3 linked regions of the Rattus norvegicus genome follow. The protein of the gene in region 1 interacts with the protein of each later gene in a pairwise test. Links are inferred from orthologs where the notes say so. Each region holds a gene or a part of one and is shown in the gene's direction. Other genes may lie near its edges.

Evidence for each region.
Region 2: the proteins of Ccndbp1 (region 1) and Pmp2 interact in binary tests that used the Homo sapiens proteins (3 or more experiments, as listed by UniProt). The two-hybrid records come from large-scale screens. The link is inferred for Rattus norvegicus from reciprocal best matches to the Homo sapiens genes CCNDBP1 and PMP2.
Region 3: the proteins of Ccndbp1 (region 1) and Thap7 interact in binary tests that used the Homo sapiens proteins (3 or more experiments, as listed by UniProt). The two-hybrid records come from large-scale screens. The link is inferred for Rattus norvegicus from reciprocal best matches to the Homo sapiens genes CCNDBP1 and THAP7.

What each region holds. Positions count from the first base shown.
Region 1 is NC_086021.1:128,415,011-128,418,760, forward strand, and holds the start of Ccndbp1 (cyclin-D1-binding protein 1), read left to right. Parts: upstream 1-1,226; coding exon 1,227-1,326; intron 1,327-1,435; coding exon 1,436-1,495; intron 1,496-1,765; coding exon 1,766-1,845; intron 1,846-2,554; coding exon 2,555-2,636; intron 2,637-3,750. UniProt on the Homo sapiens protein: May negatively regulate cell cycle progression. May act at least in part via inhibition of the cyclin-D1/CDK4 complex, thereby preventing phosphorylation of RB1 and blocking E2F-dependent transcription.
Region 2 is NC_086020.1:93,517,767-93,521,516, forward strand, and holds the start of Pmp2 (myelin P2 protein), read left to right. Parts: upstream 1-963; 5' UTR 964-1,008; coding exon 1,009-1,081; intron 1,082-2,179; coding exon 2,180-2,352; intron 2,353-2,510; coding exon 2,511-2,612; intron 2,613-3,750.
Region 3 is NC_086029.1:96,985,869-96,989,618, forward strand, and holds the start of Thap7 (THAP domain-containing protein 7), read left to right. Parts: upstream 1-1,405; 5' UTR 1,406-1,438; exon of another isoform or gene 1,439-1,605; coding exon 1,606-1,685; coding exon of another isoform or gene 1,686-1,787; intron 1,788-2,078; coding exon 2,079-2,234; intron 2,235-3,371; coding exon 3,372-3,512; intron 3,513-3,707; coding exon 3,708-3,750. UniProt on the Homo sapiens protein: Chromatin-associated, histone tail-binding protein that represses transcription via recruitment of HDAC3 and nuclear hormone receptor corepressors.

The sequences.
Region 1 (3,750 bases):
GTCATTCCTTGGACGTCTGAATGTTGGAAGTGTTTACTACTGATTCCTGCTGTGTGGACTGCAGAAAAGTCTAACGAATGACTCTTCTTCAGAGGCAAAGAGCCCTAATCAAGGAGATTGCCAGGGTGGGGTCTCTGTGTCACTGAGTCCCTCAGCACTGCTGTATTTATTAAGGGTCATCCTGTGAAAAGCATCCAGCCCAAACTTGGAATTCAGGATGCCATTTTATGCCTAGGGAACCTGTGGAAAGTGGGCCTTTACCGCTCCTGAGACTTGACTTCCAAGCCTGTTTTCCCAAGAATTATGGGCTTCCTGCTTCCTTAGTCAAAGCTGTTTTCAACTAATAAATGAATGAATGATAACCACAAACATTGGGTTGGAGAGATCAGTGGTTAAGAGCATGTACTTTACCTCCAGAAGACCTGAGTTCAATTCCTAGCAACCATGTCAGATGCTCACAACTGCCTGTAACTCTAGTTCCAGGCCAGAGCCACTGTGGACACCTACATTTATATGTGCACAGACTTACACGTAATTTAAAAAAATAATAAAAGATAAGTATTAACAAAGAAATATCACAAACGGATCTGCAATGTTGATAAACCTATGGGAACCAGAAAGTGGGCCTGGTGTTTGGGGGTAGGAGAAACAGTCACCGAAGCTGGAGTCAGCAGTTAAAAGTGCTGGTTGCTCTTCCAAAGATCACAGGTTCGATTCCCTTAACCCACATGGTGTAACTCCCGGCCTTGTGATCTGATGCCCTCTCTGGCCTCTGCAGGCACTGCCACATACATCTTTGCAGGGAAAAGGCTCCGTTACTTAAAAGAATCTCTAATAGGTCAGAAGATGCCTAACTGGGTCTTCCTGTAAGGAGTGGCCTAGTGTCACGGAGGGAGGGGTAGTGGGGGTAGTCAGGGACAAGCACTTGAACAAGTCTCTAGATTTGCAAGGGCAGGTGAAGGAGGCGTGGCTGGGTCTTTAGGCCCGGCCAGCGGGGCGTGGGCAGGTTTCTGGATGGGCTGGATTCGGGTAGGCGGGTCTCTAAGCGGGCGGAGGCGTGGACTGATGGCCAGGCTGCCTGGGAAGGCGGACTCACTACATTGGGGAGGAAGGGGCGGGACGCGATGTGTGTTGCCGGAAACGAGATGAGTTCTTCAGCACCGGAAGTACTGGGGGCGGGGTCAAATGGCTTAAGTGTCTGGGTTAGTTCCCGAAGAGAGGCTGCGATGGCGAGCTCGACAACCCCAGTCTCGTTCCTTGCTCCTCCTCTAGAGCAGCTCCGGCACTTAGCAGAGGAGCTGCGGTCGCTTCTGCCTCGAGTACGGGGTGAGTTGTGGGAATCTGCAACCCCAGGCTCCGGGTAGGGAGGTCGGGCGTCAGGTCAGGGCTCCTCTCACATGTCTTTTGCTTCCCGGGTGGTCCGGCCTTCCTCAAGTCGGCGAAGCCCAGGAGACAGCCGAGGAATTTAATCGAGAGATGTTTTGGAGAAGACTCAGTGAGTGTCTTTGCCGTTGCGGACTCTTCCTCCATCTCCCTGCATCCTACCCTCTTTTCCTTCTGCTGTCCCCTGAGATGACAATTCCTCCCAGTCCTCATCCCTTCTGCTACCCATTCTCCGCACTTGAGGCTGAAATATAAAACCATTTCTGGAGTTGTTTTGGAGTGTTGGTAAGGGTGGAGAAGGGACCCGTTATCTAAAAAGTCCAAGTGGCAACTTTAACCTTTTAACACTAACTTTGGCACCCGCTGCCTCTGACACCCCCAGATGAAGCAGCAATGAAAGTGTCTGGGGAAGCCACTGTTCTGACCACACTCTTCTCTAAAATTCCATCGCCATCTCCACAGGTGAGCTTTACTTCCGGAGTTTTTTTTTTGTGCTGTCTCCTTAAGAATCCTCTAGTTTTCTTATCTTTTGCATTCAAGCCACACTTACTTCCCCCATTTATCAAGCGAGATTACAGTTCTCACCGCATGGGATTGTTGTAAAGGCCAAATTGCCAAGTGCATAGGGTAGAAAGACCTTCTAAATTTAGTCTGAAACTCAGCCGGGTTAGTTCCTAATAATTTTTAAAGCCCTTGTTGATTTACAGCTGTTTCACATACATATTCTCTATCTGACAGATGAGTAAGCCTGTTTAGAGGCTTGGTTCAATAAATAGTGGAGGAGAAGTTAAATGCCTTCACACTATCTAACAACACCTGCTATATACAAAACCCTTTAGTGAGAAGTTTGCTGCTGCTGCTGCTGCTGCTGCACACCTTTAATCCCAGCATTTGGGAGGCAGAGGCTGGCTGCTCTCTTGAGTTCGAGACCAGCTTAGTCTACAGAGCCAGTTCCAGGATAGCCAAGGCTGCCCTTCCTTTTGTAATGCTTTTTAGAATTGTCCGGTATCTACCTAATTTCTTTATATTGTGGGAAGAGTACATCATAAGGCCTGACTCATGACAGGTTTTCATAAAACATTTAATCATGCTTATGGATGTCTGATCTCTTCCTTAGTAAATGGGTTGGCAGCATTAATGTTGACCATTCATTCTGAATTTCACCTCGTAGGAAACCCAGAGGATCTGTGAGCAAGTCCACATTGCCACTGAGGAAGTAATTGCAGCATACTACACATTTCCTAAGGATCAGGGTAAGTCACTGTATACACAGTAGTGTTGGATGTACAGGCTAGACCTTTGCTAAGGGAGTAGACTGTGTCCTAATATGTAAGCATGAAACATGTAAACATTATGTGTTTATCTTCAATGTAATATTATATATTTATATGTAAACACATTATACATGTCTATTTTTCTTCATTTTTGAGCATGTGACTTTCCTGTGAAATAAAGTCAAAGATAATTTTATATGTGAGTGACCTGTGTCACTCCATATGGGAAGTGAGTGAGTCCATTATGTGAAGGTACAGATGCTATGTAACTGTGATTTCCCTATCATTACTGCCCTACCTAATTCTTTAAAAAGTGTGTGTGTGTGTGTGTGTGTGTGTGTGTGTGTGTGTGTGTGTGTAGGCACACACATGGGGAATGGGCTCTCTCCCTCCATTGTGGGTTCCTGGGATCCAACTCAGATCTTCAGGCTTGCACAGCGAGTCCTCACCTGCGGAGCCATCTTAACTGGACATTACATTCTTTATTTTATGTTATGGGTACGGGTGCTTTGTCTGCATGTGTGTCTGTGTACCACATGTATGTCTGGTTCCTGCTGAGGTCAGAAGAGGTTGTTGGTTCCCCTGGAACTGAAGTTATAGACAGTGTGATCTGCCGTATGGGTTATGGGTTATGGGTTATGGTTATTGGTTGTTCCTGGGTCCTCTGGAAGAGCACTGAGTGCTCTTAACTGCCAAGCCTTATCCTCAGCCCCTCAATTGGTCCTTTATAAAAATTGTTCATTATCTGTGTCTGTGTATGTATGTGCACACGTGGGTGCATGTGTTTACTCAGGTGCTTATGCATGTGTATACGAGTACATGTGGAAGCCAGTATCTCCACATGATCATGAGAGAGTCTTCCCTGGAGTTCACGGATTCCCTAGGGGAGCCTCCTACCTCTGCTTCCCCAGCACTGGCATTATGGGTACACTCCAGTGTGTCTGCCTTTCTCCAGTGTGTAGGTCTTGGGAATTGAACTCAAGACATCATGGTTATGTAACTGGCACTTTCAAAAATATCTTGTCTTCTCGGCTCCTAATCCCTTTTCAGTCCATTCTAACTGCTATATATGCTTGCTGGATCTCAGCTCCAT
Region 2 (3,750 bases), on another chromosome or scaffold:
AGGTTGTCATAGAAACTAAGAATTATCCTCAGGTTTGTTCCTAAAGAGAGATGAAATATTAACCATGGTCAAAGGGCACAGTCAAAGGGCAAGTTACAGTGCTGCTTCTCATCCTAACATGAATACAACTCTGTACTTTCTTGTCTGCCTACTCTGCCTGCCCAGAATATGTAAACTATGCCAAGCCTCCCTCACCTCTGAATGTGTCCTCAAACTGTAGGCCTCCATTTACCTCCCACAGCATATTTGAGACTCTGATCACAATACTCATAGACTGTCTCCCCTTTTAAGAATTTTGTGACAACCCCTACCCCACCCGACCCCACCACCCAAAAAAAGTAACAACCTAGACAGAAAACCATTGAAGAGAGCTCTTAAAACTTATAATCAAGATGCTTCAATGAATATAAGGACAGCACAAATTAGACTTGTCCCTCCTCCTCCTCCTCCTCCTTCTTCTTCAAGGGCAGTGGTCATAAGGGTAGGGAGCAGACCTGGGAGGACTAGAAATGGGTGTGATCAGGGTGTATTATATGAAATTCTCAAATAATCAATAAAAATAATATGAAAAAAGAACTCTTAATTGTGAAGAATTAAAAGTCAATAAGATGCCAACACACATGCATGTGAGTGCGTGCGCGCTCACACACACACACACACACACACACACACACACACGCACGCACACAAAATCATATAATATATAGAAGGACTTAAGCATGCCTATCAATGCAAAATGAGCCAAAAAATATTCTAAAGGTTCAAACAATACTTTGAGTTATTTTCATGGACACAGGGACATTGTGTGGTGGTTTCTTTCATCCATGGATAGGCAGCTTGTGAGTTAAGAGCCATTCATCATTCAGCTCAGCCACTGCCTTTCCTCATTGGGTCTCAGTGTGAGTCACATGCTTTGGATTTCTTTGAAAAGAACTGCGCAAGATCTCAGCATCTCACAGGCAACTGCTGCATCCCACTAGGAACTCCACTCTCTCCTCATCCATCACAATGAGTAACAAATTCCTAGGCACCTGGAAACTTGTCTCCAGCGAGCACTTCGATGACTACATGAAGGCTCTAGGTGAGAATGCTTCGTGGCAAATGTCCCCTTATGGACAGATGCACAGGGTTTTCTCCAACGTTTTTTCCCCAGGAGTCTAAGGAATGTTGTGTGGGCTGAGTGCAATCTTCTGTCTCATTCATAAAATTTACTTCCACTTCATTGGCGATAGATTGTTAGAATTTAAGTGCATTATAACTTGAAGACAGTGTCACAGGTTTGTCATTGGAAATTTGGGAGAAATATTAGAGTTTGAGTCATTCCATATTCTGGCATTTTCTGAAAGCTTGTTTAATAGGAATTAATGTGGTAATAAGATTATGAATTGAATACTAGGAAACCACAGTTTAAAATTTTAACTTTTATCCAAACTAAAAATTCTGTGTCTCTCTCTGCTTTGAGTTTGTTGATAATTAATCATTTAAGTGTGTGAAGTTTGATATATGGCACATTTCCTAAATGAGGATGCTCGAAACCTTTGCAAGTTGTTGATATCAAATGAACTGGTTGGCGGCTGTGAGTTCAAACTTTGTCCCACCAAAATCTATCCATCCTAGTGTTGAGCAGGGACTACAGACAGAAGAGTGTGGTGGACAGGTTGTTCTGTTTTGTTCTTCTCACCAGACAAATTTTGGAACTACAAAATGTCAAAAATGTGATTCCATCAAGGATATGAGGGGGGTTGTACTGTATATCCACAGCTCCTATTGATAGAGAAAATAATATAGAAAAGTATGTGTGGATGGGAGATAGTCATGCTGAAAGCATGTTTGTAAACACAATATCAAATGTCTCTAATGCTTCATACAAATCTGAAATGACTTATTTTATGGTGAGGGTACCACTGGACATGACAAAGTGGACAAACTTTGAAGCTGTATAGTGTTATGCTGTAAACTCTGTAGTCATCACTGTTGTAGCAGTATGCTAAAATGAATGTGTCACCTATATGCATTTTTTCTTGTTGTTGAACCTTCGGTGGAAGTCCTTGGTAGGAAGTCCCACCATCTACTCATTGAAGGTAACACTGAATAAGTAACAAGAAACCCGTGGACATGAAATCCATCTCTCAGATATGCCGCCTTACCCAACACAATCTGACAACGCCTTGCTTTTCAGGCGTGGGGTTAGCCAACAGAAAACTTGGAAATTTGGCCAAGCCTAGTGTGATCATCAGCAAGAAGGGAGACTATATCACCATTAGAACTGAAAGTGCCTTCAAAAATACAGAGATCTCCTTCAAGTTGGGCCAGGAGTTTGATGAAACTACAGCTGACAACAGAAAAACCAAGGTAATCCATAATATTTTTCTTTGGAAGTTGGTTCAATGGACTACTGAGAGCCAGGATTATTCCTTTTGGGAGTTAGCAACTTGGAGAATGGATGTGATTTGTTGAGATACCTGTCATGGAAACTGAGTTAAGCCAAACACATGAATTTGTCTTTGTAGAGCATTGTGACGCTGGAGAGAGGCTCCTTGAAGCAAGTGCAGAAGTGGGATGGTAAAGAGACAACCATAAAGAGAAAGTTGCTGGATGGGAAAATGGTAGTGGTAAGAACGTTCCCAGTTCTCAAGGCAGAAATAATGCTATATACATGCATTGATTATGCTTGATTCAAAATGTCCTTGTTCTTTAGAATACAAATGGACAATAACACCAAGAATAAAGTCAGGGGTTAGTGCTTGAGTGAAAAACCATTTAAAAAAATTCATGTTTGAGTCCTACAAGTGTTAGGTCAAGATTTTTAAGTGGTAGTATCTAGACAGTAAAGTTAATGAAAATATCGATGAATGTCATTTGTTTAAACTTATAGCCAAAAATGTAAGCCTATACTTCAAAAATAAAATATAGCCCTGGTCTGCTCAATTATACAATATCATAGTAAAAAGCCCATTTGTTTTCAGGAGTGCATAGGAACTTACCCTAAACTATACCAAAAACACAATCTGAGCACTAAGCTCTGGAGACTTCTTTCAGTCAGCAGATCAGAATGAGGAAAAGAAGCCTGCCAGACAGGCTCTAAGGGAATTTTAAGACTATGGGTTTGTGCTCACTAATTACACACACTGAATATGCATACAGTCCTCTAGTGTTTTGACCATTTCTTTTCATGTGCGCTGGGTTTTAGCTCTTGCTGCACAGTAGGTGTCCAGGGCAGTTCCAACATGAGGTCACCGTTATAGATCAACCAAGCCCAACCTCTCAGGGAGTATATGTGGCTGCTCTTTTGGGTAAGGCCAATGAGAAAGCCATTTCGATATTAGTCACTACTCTCCTTGAAACCAAAACCAGCTAAAAAGCATCTTCAGAGAGAATTCATCTGGATCTGTAGTGAGAGGAGACACCATCCACCACGGCAGAGAAGACATGATAGCGGGTGCTTGAGGCAGCTGGTGGTGCACATCAGGAAGCAAGGGAAACGGACACGGGTGCCCAGCCCAGCCCTCAGTCAGACCCTGGATGGCCACTTCTCTACTTTAGCCTGTGTTAGGTCTTCAGGTCTCCCCACCTCAATTAACCTGACTGTCCCTCTCAGACATGCCTGAAGGTTTGATTTGTCTTTGGGATGGATGATTCTAACTCCCACAGAGCTGGCAACCAACATTAAGCGTTATAACTGTGACAATTTTTATTGGATTTAAATGCATCTAAACTGTGCATAAAAAACTGCTGCTCGATCATGTGTAA
Region 3 (3,750 bases), on another chromosome or scaffold:
TTGTTCTCTTGAGGCCTGGGAGGACCTAGCAGCACTGGAGAAGGCTTAGGAAGACTGGCTGTGGATTTCACAGACTCAGAGGCTGAAGAAGGGGAGGGAAGAGTACTGAGTGAGGCTGTGTGGCTGGCAGCCATCCCTTTAGCTCTTCCCACTGTTAACACTAAGTGATGCTTTTCTCTGTATTAGTGTCTGCACTGAGGCATTACTTTTACTGTGCACTGTACTTTAAAAACAAAACAAAATTCCCTGTCTAGATATCCATCTTTCTTAGAAGGACTAATTAGCCAATTCGTGAATTCCTCTGGGAGAAACACACGTGTTCTCTCTACATTACTAAGCATGTCTGTACACTCAGTTAAAAGCTTCTAATTAGGGGCTGGGGATTTAGCTCAGTGGTAGAGCGCTTACCTAGGAAGCGCAAGGCCCTGGGTTCGGTCCCCAGCTCCGGGGCGGGGCGGGGGGGGGGGGAGAGCTTCTAATTAGATAAGAGAATTAGGGCAACAATGTTACTGTCCCTCCCACCTCACATAAAGTGCATAGAAGTGACTTTCCCGGTGTCCTGTGAGAGGGCTGAGGACAGAGGCAGTGGGGCTCCATCTAAGGGCTGTAAAACCCAGTTCCTGCTATGCCATTTCTCCATTAGTTTTCCTCCACGACTAGCCAATCATTGTATGTCCCAGACTGTACTTGGAGCACACTGTACCCTTCTTCCTGTTATGGGAGTAAATTTTGAGCACTGGTCTTAATTTTAAGAACTTAATCTAAAATGAACCCTCCAAGATTGCCAGATAACACAATAAAGTAAATGGTAATAAGAGATGCTGCTGCCTGGCCCAGCTGGAAACTCCAGGGCTCAGAACCTTCCCACCTCGGTGGTGGGAAGGCTCAAGGCCTTTGTTTGCAGCGCTCTGCCTATGCAGTTAATACCGTCACTCTAAGAATCCTTGTGTCTTTACATTTTATTTTGTGCATATGTATGGGGACCAGAGGACAATTACTGGACGTTGGTTCTCTCCTTCCACCAGGTGGGTCCCGGGGATCAAACTCAATCTTCAGGGTTGGCATCAAGTGCTGAGCCATCACACCAGCCGGGGTGACCGGGTTCTTTGAACAAAGATTTGCTCAGGTTTTTCTCAACCAAAGTGTCTCAACCATGTTCAAGAAGCACTACAGATCGCACCCCACTGCTTCGTCCTAACGGCGGGCTCTCAGCCATTATCTTGGACACACAAGGAGGCGAAACGACTAGTCCAGGAACGTGAAATCAGCAGTGACGATCCCCGCCATCAATCCCAACATCCGGTGGCCCGCCCCGCCAGGATCTCTTCCGGTCCCGCCCCTTGGGGGCCGGCGCCACGGGCGTCGGAGTCTCTCTGCTACCAACTTCCGCATTGACCCACCCATCGCGAGATTTTGGCGGCGCAGCAATGGCAAGACCGTGAGTACCGCTGACGGGAGTCTATAGAACGAGTTAGGACAGGACTGGTGCGGGGTCGGGCCGCGGGGAGCCGACAGGCTCGGGCCCTCTGGAGGGAGTGACAGCTGGGCGTGAAGACGGTCCTCCCCCGACTGCCGCGCATCACCCAGATCCCGCCCCTTCCCCAGATGCCGCGACACTGCTCCGCCGCCGGCTGCTGCACACGGGATACACGCGAGACTCGCAACCGCGGCATCTCCTTCCACAGGTCAGCGCGCGTGCGTAGTGGCACGCGAGGGCTCACATGCGCAGGCGCTTGGTGTTGCCGCACCTTAGGCCGCGCAGGAGACAGCGCTTTCCTGAGGTCGAAGTGAGGCTTGAACTTGTGAGCGGGAGGGTTCTAGGGGAGGCCGAATAGTTTCCAGTCCAGCCGAAAAAGACTGGACGCTTACCTGGCTTGGATCTACAGCTCTGCCTCATTCCTACTAGATGATGCTGAGCAGGCCCCTTTCCTTCTCTCGTCCTCAGTTTCTCTTTTTTCCCTAGCCCGTGGTAATCTGAAAGGGTCTCGGGGAGGTCTGTCATTCTTGCCTGGGGAGCTTGGGCATCCTGAACGCAGGGCTGTAGACAGTCTGGTGCTCACGGTTTTGTGGCTCTGCAGACTTCCCAAGAAAGACAACCCCAGGCGCGGCTTGTGGCTGGCCAACTGTCAGCGGCTGGACCCCAGCGGCCAGGGCCTGTGGGATCCGACCTCTGAGTACATCTACTTCTGCTCCAAACACTTCGAGGAAAACTGCTTTGAGCTGGTGGGAATCAGGTGGGTCTTTCTGCCAGCCAACACCAGGACAGGTTGTGAGGCATCAGAGCAGTGGGCCAAGTGAGGCAGCTCTTTGTCCTGGTGAAGTCCATGAACATCTGGCTGGCATGCTCACAGACAGGCAGACCGGTTGTCAAGGGTGCTGTTGCCTCTTTCCTGTTCTGTACAGTTAAAGCATGGTCCCAGAATCACCGTGCCAGTGACATCAGAGAAAAACAGCTTTTCCAGGCTGGGGAAATAGCCCTCTTTGCTAAAGACTTGGTGTGCAAGCACGAGGACCTGAGTTCAGATTCAAATACCCAAATAAAAAGCCACATGTGATTGCTTGTTCCTTTAATCCCAATCCTGGAGAAGACAAAACAAAAGGATCCCAGGGACTTACAGAAAAGCTAGTCTAGATGAGTTGTTGAGCCCTGTGTTGAGTGAGAGACTGTCTTTAAAAAATAAGGTCGAAGGGCTAGAGAGATGGCTTAACCATTTTAGAGCACCTGTAACTCTTACCGAGGACTGGGGTTCAGTCCACCGCTGAGGGCATGGGTACACATATATACATGCATGCTAAACACTCATATACATACATAGGGCTGGCTTAGAGGTTATGAGCACTGACTCTCCTTCCAGAAGACCCGGGTTCGTTTCCGCCCTCCAGCCCCCTCCCCAGTGGCTTACAGCAGTCTGTAACAGTCGGGAACTGGTCCATTACCCTCTTCTAACCTCTGTAGGCACGCATATGGTGAACAGTCACATAGGCGAAATGCTCATACACGTAAAAATAAAAAATGTTTTTAAGGAAAAAATCTTTAAAGACAAAGGTGGTGGATGATTAAGGAAGGCACCTGAGGTTAGCCGCTGGTCTCCACTCGAAAGACAAGCAGCTTTTTCGTAGGATGTTAGCACCTAGGCCTTCCAGCTGGTCCGCCTAGCCCTGCTGCTGGGTTTTCCACTCACCTCAACCCTGGAGGCTCATTCACAGGGAAGAGGAGTTTGATTTCACCACACTTGGCATTCCTCAGATGTGTTACTGGCAGTGTGCCTCGGAGCCTCTCTCATCCTTAGTGCTGCAGGACCTACATTGGGAATCCAGGGGAGATGGCAGCCTTCTTTTCTCTAGCTCATCTGGGCTGCTTTTCCCCACAGTGGGTATCACAGGCTGAAGGAAGGGGCAGTCCCCACCATATTTGAGTCTTTCTCCAAGTTGCGTCGAACAGCCAAGACCAAGGTGCATGGTTATCCACCTGGCCTGCCTGATGTCAGCCGGCTCCGGCGTTGCAGGAAGCGGTATGTGCTGCAGGACTGGGGATGCCCCACCTCACCCAGGGCTGAGGGTCTGGAGCGTAGGGTGAATGCCAGCATCCTCCTTGAACAGGGCTCTTGCTATCCAGACCCAGTGAAGGGGGCTCAGATGTTAGGGAGACTAAATGGGCTAATGAGAGGAGCCTGGCATGCCTTAGTTTCTTTCTGTCTCCCCTCCAGCTGCTCTGAAAGACAAGGACCCACAATTCCATTTTCTCCACCT